Linked DNA regions of Sus scrofa. Each later gene encodes a partner of the first gene's protein in a complex. Links are inferred from orthologs where the notes say so. Each region holds a gene or a part of one and is shown in the gene's direction. Other genes may lie near its edges.

Region 1 (4,697 bases):
TCTGTAAAATCGCCACAAACTGGAAACAACCCAAATGTACATCGGCTGGTAAATAATTGTGGTATATCTCTATAGTAGAACTCTGTTCAGGCATAATAAGAACGTAACTACTTATAAACACAACAAAATGGATGAATCTCAAAAAAAGAGTATGCTGAGCAAAAGAAGCCAGGCCCAAAAGACTAAATATTTTATAATTCTAATATAGAACATGCAATAGTTATATGTCATGTGAATTTCTAAAACAGACAAAACTAAATTTACAGTGATAGCATGTCAGTGACTGCCTGGAGTTCAGGGAACATTTTGAAATAATGTAAATATTGTATTTGTGGCATTAGGTTACCTGACTATTCGTTAGTCTAAACTCATAAAAGTATTAAAAAGTGCATATATTTTCTGGTATTAAATTATCTCGATAAAGACAACTTAAAAGCAAAAGGTAAAAACTTAAAAAAATAAATAGCAATGGGAGTTACCGTCATGGCGCAGTGGTTAACGAATCTAACTAGGAACCATGAGGTTGCGGATTCCATCCCTGCCCTTGCTCAGGGGGTTAACGATCCGGCGTTGCCGTGAGCTGTGGTGTAGGTTGCAGATGCGGCTTGGATCCCGCGTTGCTGTGGCTCTGGCGTAGGCCGGCGGCTACAGCTCTGATTCGACCCCTAGCCTGGGAACCTCCATATGCCACGGGAGCGGCCCAAGAAATAGCAAAAAAAAAAAGACAAATAAATAAATAAACAAATAAAATAGCAATATAGGATTAAAACATAAAATAGGAATCGATGAGTCCATAATGATAAAAATAAACAAATCGTTTAAATAAATAGAGAGGAGCAGAAGTTCTTTAGAGTTCAAAGCCAGCTAATAAATGTGGAGTGAATGATGGAGTAGAAGACTGCCATTTGGAATCATCACAGTAACAGTTTTTAGTCAAGAAACCTCAATGGGTACAACTTAATAACTACAAAGAGAAAATAATTTTTCAGGCAGGGAGAAACCTGCAAGATACCGCCCCTTAATCAAATAATGAGACAAAGAGTGATAAACGTAGCCTCACTTCTACGCACTATAGTTAAAAATGTATAATCTAAATCCAATCATGAAAAACACAGAGCAGACCCATTTTGAGGGAAATTCAACAAGGCCTATCCTGTAATCTTTAAGAGTTTCCAGTCCTGAAGGTCAAAGGAAATTGAGCCTGTTCCAGGCTGAAGGAAACTCAGACATAATAAGCCAATGCAACATGTTATCCTAGATTGATTCCTTTTACTGTTTGCCATAAAGGACATTCTTGATGCAGCTGGCAGAACGTGAGTGAGTGTAAAGAGCAGACAGCAGTAATGGATCACTGTTAATTTCCTGATTTTAATGGTCGTGCTGTGGTCATGTAGGAGTGTATTCTTGTTTGTAGGACATACACTGACGTGTTGAGGGCTAAATGGGCATCATGTTTATGATTTAATGAAATCTCAAAAGGGTTTGATGTAGTGCACATTTTGCTACTATAAGAATTCACTGGGAGGGAAGGGAAAGAGCAAGAATGTGATCAAAAAGAAGAGTAATAAGGTTTTGGAGATTATCACCTAGAGTGCTTTCAACCAAGAATATATGTATTTTAATCTATCCTTTACTTAACTGCATTTCCTACAGGCAAGAAAAGTATTGAATTAGAGAAAAAAAGGCTCTCTCAACCTAAGCCAAAGCCCAAAAAGAAGAAAAAGCCCACTTCAAGAGTGCCTACCAAGCAGGAATTCTGTGACAGGAATGAAGAAGAGAGCATAAAGGAGAGCTCAGGCCCTGTTGAGAACGGCGTGTCAGACCAGGAGACGGAGGAGGAAGTCCGGGAGCCAGAGCCACCCTGTGGTGACACCCCCACAGGTAGGTGGCAGAATCCCAAGTTTCACCAACTCTCTAGGACTTAAAGAGTCATGACCAAGAAACTAAGCCAGGTCCTTACTGGGAGTGAAACTTTTCTGCCTCTGAGCTACTTGCTTTCCCAACTCCTTAACTTAGTGTGTCTTTGGTGTCCTTAAAAACTAATTAAGGGTTTTTTTTAAGATTTATTTAAGCCTCTAAAATAATAACTTTGAAGTGTCAAAGGGGATATAATGGATGACTGCAATGGAAATAGTGAAGTTCTGCAGAGAAAACATATCACCTTGGGCAGGGTTAAACTGTGGGACAAAGTGAAGCTAGGGCAGTGTTCACGTAGAAACTTACGTGGGGAAAGTTTTAACAGTATGACATCATCAGCCACATTTATTGAAAGAAACCACTGTACCTGACCTAGAAACCACCACACTGGGAACTTGCAAGCAAGCAATATAAATAGGACTGACTCATGTTTAATTCTGAAACAAAATATTTTGATGTGTCAGAATTTTAAATGGCCAAAATCTAAGGGACAGGGACATCCCTGACTCTCTCTGTTCCCAGGGGTGGCTGTTAGGACCCAAAGTTTGGATAAATAAGGATGTAAAAGCTTAATAGATTTTGCTTTTGTTTCATTTTGTTTGTTTAAATTTACTGGAGTATAGTTGACTTACATTGTTGTGTTACTTTTAGGTGTAGAGCAAAGTGAATTGGCTATATATATATCTATCTCCATTTTTTTTTCCCATATGGGTTGTTACAAACTATTGAGTAGATTTCCCTGAGCTCTCCAGTAGGTTCCCGTTAACTACCTGTGCTCTACAGTAGTGTGTATATGTTACTTCCATCCTTCCAATTTCTCCCTCCTTCTCACAGTGTACCCTATGGTAACCATAAGATTGCTTTTGAAATCTGTGAGTCTCTGTTCTATACACACAAACTCCCTGCATCATTTTTTATTAGATTCCTCATATAAGTGATACCACATATTTGATTGACTTCTCTCAAAATGAGAATCTCTAGTTGCATCTATGTAGCCGCAAATGGCATTATTTCATTCTTTTTTATGGCTGAATAATATTCCATTGTATATATGTACCACATCTTTATCTACTTCTCTGTCAGTGGACATTTAGGTTGCTTAATGGATTTATTTTGTAGACCCATTAGAATACCTCTGTATCACAAAATGACTGCACAAAATGTCCTTTTACTCCTAACTATCAACAATTTGGTTGTTTTGTCAAGTTCTTTTATAGTTTGTGGTTGTATATACTCAGGATTATGACTCCATATCCCATACACTTTAGATTTCCATTGGTAAAGTTGTTCCTTGTTTGTGTAATTAAATATGCAATCAGTAATGTGTCACCTAAATATTTAAGTCTTCTGTCACCTAAGCTAAGTCTGAGAACTCTCGGGCCTATGGTATAAAGTTATGAAGGCTAGAATCATACAACTTTTCCTTAGATCAGTTAGTCAGAGTTCTAAGTAATAAAGTTGCAGATTCCCAGAATGTAGCTTGTGAGGTGGGGAAAGGAAGAAAACACCCATGTTTCCTTTCTGAAATATTTCATCTCATGTTTGGGGTAACAGACAAAAATCACACCTTAAAACCTGGGATAGCTCTTAATTTTCAAAAAGAACTGGATTCTATGTTGTTCTCATCCAGACATTTTTTCTTTTCCCTATGATGTAGTTTCTAAGGAACCAGTTACCTGCACTCCAGCTTCCTTAGGTTTAGAAAAGTCAAAAGTCACCATTAATAACAAAGTCGCTGTACTGAAAAAGGAGGCACCTAAAGAGAAGCCAGGTTAGTATCTAGTAATTAAAATTTCGTTAAAGCATCCTCAAATATTACATGTAACTGAAAACTCAAAAGTGTACAATTTTTGCTTTAGGTTTTAAATATTTGTGTTTTGATTATGTTTCGACTGGGGTCATTTTTTTGGTACTGAGGAACTCCTTTGGCAAATTACTGATGTAGCTTCACAACTGTTCACAGGAGTAGGTTTGTGTGTGTTGTGAACACTGCCCCCAGCTAATTCAATTTGAAAGCTTCTTTCTAAGAGTGGGAACTTTCTCTACCCTGCAGGATCCCTCCAGTAGGTTTACATTCACACAAAGGGCATGCTTTCAGTTTTGTGTTGTGATCAGCTCTTCTTCAGTCAGTACTTTTATTACATTTCAGAAGCCCTAATCATTAAGAAGCGAAAAGCTCGTTCCATGCTTCCACTGAGTACGAGTCTGGACCACAGATCCAAGGAAGAGCTTCATCAGGACTGTTTGGTACTAGCCACTGCAAAACACTCCAAAGGTACAAAAATACACTCCCCTGGCCCATCCATAGTCTTCTGGGACCTGGCACCGAAGAAGTGCTTGTTTATTTCTTGAATGAATGAATGAATGAATGAGCCATGTCCTAAACTGCTGTCTGTATTTCTGCAGTCTTTTCCAGCAATCTTTCCCCTTGTATCCCACTGCCAGGCTCCACACTCTGACCCACTGTCAACATTCCCCCATGCTTTTGAGACATAATGGTCTACTTTTCTGGTATAAACAAGTTACCAGCCATCTGTGTGCTGGAATTGGTATGATGGCTTCAGTATCTTAGCATGAATCAATTCCATCAACTATTTATTCCCAGTAAACAGTATCTACATATAGAAAAAAATTGTTTTACTTATTGGAAATATATCCATAATATGGCAGTTCCTTTAAAATTTTTGCTGGAAGTGTTTATGTTTTAAAAATTGAATCTTATATGTTGAAAAGGGATACATATGATAAAATGAAATCCAAACAGTATAAAAACAGTCTCT
Region 2 (4,697 bases), on another chromosome or scaffold:
GGAACTCTGTGATACTCATTACATGTAATATACAGGATTTTCAGTGCTACCTGAAGCAGAAATGATCTCTGACCTAATGGAGTAATGGGAAAAGATAGATACGTGGTTCCAGGACAATAGGTTTTAACCTTTTGGGTATCTCATATTCATCCTGAGAATCTAATGAAAGCTATATATCCTCAGGGGGAAAAACTGCACATATATGTAAAGTAATTTGCAAGGTGATGTGTCTCAGCAAAAATTGTTCTGATCAAAAATCACTTTGCTGTATATTTGAAACTAACACAGTATTATAAATCAACTAAAATAAATACTTTTTAAAGAAGTTTTAGAAATTGTTCTGTTAAGGGAGCATTCTTGAGCTAAATGGTCCTGCTTTTTTTCCCCCTCTTCTGTTAGCCCCACTCATGGCAAGTTCCTGGGCCAGGGATCGAATCCCTAGCCACAGCAGCAACCCAAGCCAGATCTCCCTCCCTCTTTTGGCTGCACTGGCTGAATGTAAAAGTTCCTAAGCCAGGAACTCATGCCACAGCAGTGACCAGCACTGCTGCAGAGACAACACTGGATCCTTAACCCACTGTGCCACAAGAGAGCTCCTAATTGGTCCTGCTTTTTTTCAGTCTGACAATGTAGAATAAATATTTCTTATTTGATTGGACAGCCCTTTAAGTATGTGGAATATGTAATCATGTCTCCTTCCCTGGGATTCTCATCCTTTATTCTTGTAAGCATTCTTAGTGTCCCATATCAGCTCCTATCTTTATCACCCTCTTTTGAACACACTCTTGTTTGTCACTGTCCATAAAGTATGATTCAAACTATAGAGTTCCCATTGTGGCTCAGTGGGTCAAGAACCCAACACAGTGTCCGTAAGGATGCAGGTTCGATCCCTGGCCTCCTTCAGTGGGTTAAGGATCTGACATTGCTGCAAGCTGCCATTGTCACATTCGTGGCTCATATCCTGCATTGCTGTGACTGTGGTGTAGGCCTGTAGCTTCAGCTCCGATTTGACCCCTAGCCTGGGAACTTCCATATGCTGTAGATGCAGCCCTAAAAAAAATAAAATAAAAAAATAAGTAAATAATAAAGTACAATCCAAACTAAATGCTGGTGTGACCATCAAAGTCTGAGATCAGGGTGTCGGTACATTTCTCTTCAGGCCTCTCTCTTTGGTTTCAGATGGTCATCTTCTTGCTTTGTCCTCACATAGTCTCCTGTGTGCACACACATGTGTAATAGCTCTCTGTCCACATTTCCTCTTCTTATGGATGCAGGTCATTTTGGATTAGGACCTGCCCTAACTACCTCATTTTAACTTAATTGCTGCTATAAAGGCCCAGACTTCAAATAATCACATTCTGAGGTACTGCGGGTTAGGACTGCAGCACGTGATTTTTAGGACTACACAGTTCACTCTTTCGTAACAGGCAGTATATCTTTGTGTTGAGGTGGTGGGGATACAGAGGAATTCTCACTTATTTTTTTCACTGTTGAGTATTTTCTTTAAAAATTATATAGGAATAACTAAATTCTTCTTCTTTTTTCTTTGTTTTAGCCAAAATCTGAAGATGAAGAAGGCTGGAAAAAATTTTGTCTCGGTGAAAGGTTATGTGCTGAAGGAGTTACTGTTGGACCAGCTGCAAGTGAAAGTCCTGGAATTGATTATGTACAAGTAGGTGATAATGTGGCTACACAAAGAAAAATTATAATTTCAGTGCATGATTTCATGTAAAGACTCAGCAAACTGCAGTCTAGGCCAAATCCAATCTGCAACCTGTTCTTGTCCAGCTCATGAGCTAAACATAAAAACTTTATAGTTTTTACATTTTTAAAGGGTTGTTAAAAAAAATTAATAATAATGTGACTTAGACAGTATATGGTCTACAAAACCTAAAATATTTGCTGTCTGGCTCTTTACGGAAATTACTTGCCAATCCCTAACTTAGTTCATTGGCTCTTTGACTTAAAAATTGATAGCCTCATTTATAAAACAATGTACTGTGGCTCTTTTTAGGTTAGCTTCATATCTCTTATGGTTTAGCTTTTTAATAATTTTGTCAGATAGGATTCTTTTTTTAAAAAACCATTAGGCATGAGTCAAACAATGAGTTATAAGTAGTCAAGGAAACAAAGTTAGGTGCTTTAAAATGTTTATTCATAAATTCATATTCTGGAGATTAAATGTTGAGGGTATATTTTAATTTCACGTGACTTTATTTTATTTTTTTTGCTTTTTTTAGGGCTGCACCCGTGGCATACGGAGGTTCCCAGGCTATGGGTCTAATCAGAGCTACTGCTGCTGGCCTACACCACAGCCACAGCAATGCAGGATCCAAGCCACGTCTTCCACCCACACCACAGCTCATGGTAACGCTGGATCCTCAACCCACTGAGCGAGGCCAGGGATCAAACCCACAATCTCATGGTTCCTAGTTGGATTCTTTTCCACTTCACCACAATGGGAACTCCAATTTCACGTGACTTTTATTTTAATCATAAATTATGTAGCTATCTGCTTCTTGTCCTTTAGCATTCGCTTGCCTTCAGCATTCGCTTGCCTTCAAGTGTGCAGATGTTCCAAGGAAACTCACTGTATTCATCTGCATTACTAGTAACTCCTGAAACTATGTTGTTCTGTTGAATAGATATTTATCATTTTCTGTGTGGTGCCACATTGTGTTTTTCCTATTAAAATTAGTTTTAAAAAAATAAATAAATAAATAAAGTAAAATTAGTTTAGCCCCAAAATGTAAAGCTCCAAAAATCACTGAAAAACACCAAGAACCCAAATTAAAAAAAAAAAAAAAAAGGCAAAGAATATAAAGGACATCTCACAAGAAGGAAATACAGATTGTTCTTACATGAGAAGATGCCCAGACTCACTTATGATAGAAATTTAACTTATAATTGCACTGAGCTGGTATGACATATTGGTAAAGAAAATTTGATACACTGAGTCAACAAAGGCTAGGAAGACAGGCACTCTTACACATGGTAGTGGGAGTGTAGACAGATTCAAATCTCTAAGGGAGCTAATTTGACACTGTTTCTTAGACAACTTATGTTCTTTGGGATAATATCCATAATATATTTTAATTTGACACAGAATTAAAATATATATAGTTCGTTATTACCAAATACATACAGGTGAGGGAGTTCCCATTTGGAGCATTGGAAACAAATCTGACTAGTACCCATGAGGATGCAGGTTCGGTTTCTGGCCTTGCTCAGTGGGTCCATGGTCCGGCGTTGCCACGACCTGTGGTGTAAGTTGCAGACATGGTTCAGATCCCGCGTTGCTGTGGCTGTGGTGTAGGCCGGCAGCTATATCTTCGATTCAACCCCTAGCCTAGAAGGCTTCCATATGCCACGGGTGCACCCCTAAAAAGAAAAGAAAACAAAACAAAACCCAAAATACATACAAGTAAAGCATATCATGTGAAAGAACAATTTAAGAACATAAAAGTTTAATGCATGTCCTCAAGTTTCGCACCAAGTCAGGACTGTTTTCATAATCCAGGCTTCCCGCATTAAATTCCAAAGCACTTTCTTAAATTGAAGCAGACTAGGTTTGAAAAAACTCATTCAAGTGCCTTTAATTCCTGAAAATAATAACTTTAGCTGAAGATTTTGAAAAAGTGTATACAACATATTAATGTCATAGTATCATTTTTTTCAGTTTCACGTTTTAACATCTTAATTACTAAAATCGTTCTTTGGTTTTAATTTACGTGTTCAAATGTTAAGACATTATTTTCTTGGGCATTACCAACATAATAGCTCATGGAATATTTTATTGTAATGGACAGTGGAGAAATTTTTCTTTTATCTAGTCTTTGTTCTTTAATAACAGTGTGTTGAGAAATTCACCAGTTTGGAAAAAAAAAAAAAAAAATGAAGCCCCCTCCTTGTAATACTATTTAGTAAATTTCAATTTAATTTTTCTTTCAGATTGGTTTTCCTCCCTTGCTTAGCATTGTTAGCAGAATGAATCAGGTAAAGTCTGTCTGATAATAAGAATGTTAAGTGTTCTTTTGTTTGCAATGTGTGTTAAAATATTTAAATAATTTGCTGAATATTTACAGTATGTAAGACCCAGTTCTAGACTTTGTAACAGTTCTTATTTAATCCTCACTACAACCCTTTATGGGGGATTATTATTAATACCTATTTTTTTGTAGCTGAGGAAACAGAATTAAAGTCACTTGGTGGTTTTTCAGTGAATTTTAATGGTGACATTGGGACTCAGCCCCAGGTTGATCTGATGTTAGAACTCATGCTCTTGATCATGGTGCTAAACTATTCACATATATACATTTTAGTTATAAGTCTTAGATTCTGGGGTTTGAAATAAATACTGAGATCAAAAAGGTGTTTCTAGTTCTGGATGACCTACGCATTTCACTAAGAATGAAATTTGAATTTCTTGGATCAAAAGGGGAGAAATAATGGACTTCAGTCCTTCAGTCTTTCAGGAACTGTTACCTATTTAAAGAGCAAATAAAAACTTTTGATTGTTTTGCATTCACATAGCATAGAGTACCAATGTAGATAAATTTTTTTTAAGAGTCATACTCTGTTGTAAATCTGGAGTTCCTGCTGTGGCACAGCAGGATCCAGGGTGTCTGTGTAGCGTCAGGACACAGGTTTGATCCCTGGCCCAGCACAGTGGGTTAAAGGACCCCGAGTTGCCACAG

The links. Proteins that work in one complex are often made in the same cells at the same time.
Region 2: GEMIN5 (region 1) and GEMIN2 share a complex: the UniProt entries of both Homo sapiens proteins name them as parts of the SMN-Sm complex. The link is inferred for Sus scrofa from reciprocal best matches to the Homo sapiens genes GEMIN5 and GEMIN2.

What each region holds. Positions count from the first base shown.
Region 1 is NC_010458.4:68,306,214-68,310,910, forward strand, and holds part of GEMIN5 (gem-associated protein 5), read left to right. Parts: intron 1-1,653; coding exon 1,654-1,881; intron 1,882-3,574; coding exon 3,575-3,688; intron 3,689-4,066; coding exon 4,067-4,192; intron 4,193-4,697. UniProt on the Homo sapiens protein: The SMN complex catalyzes the assembly of small nuclear ribonucleoproteins (snRNPs), the building blocks of the spliceosome, and thereby plays an important role in the splicing of cellular pre-mRNAs.
Region 2 is NC_010443.5:169,681,835-169,686,531, forward strand, and holds part of GEMIN2 (gem-associated protein 2), read left to right. Parts: intron 1-1,555; coding exon 1,556-1,672; intron 1,673-3,951; coding exon 3,952-3,996; intron 3,997-4,697. UniProt on the Homo sapiens protein: The SMN complex catalyzes the assembly of small nuclear ribonucleoproteins (snRNPs), the building blocks of the spliceosome, and thereby plays an important role in the splicing of cellular pre-mRNAs.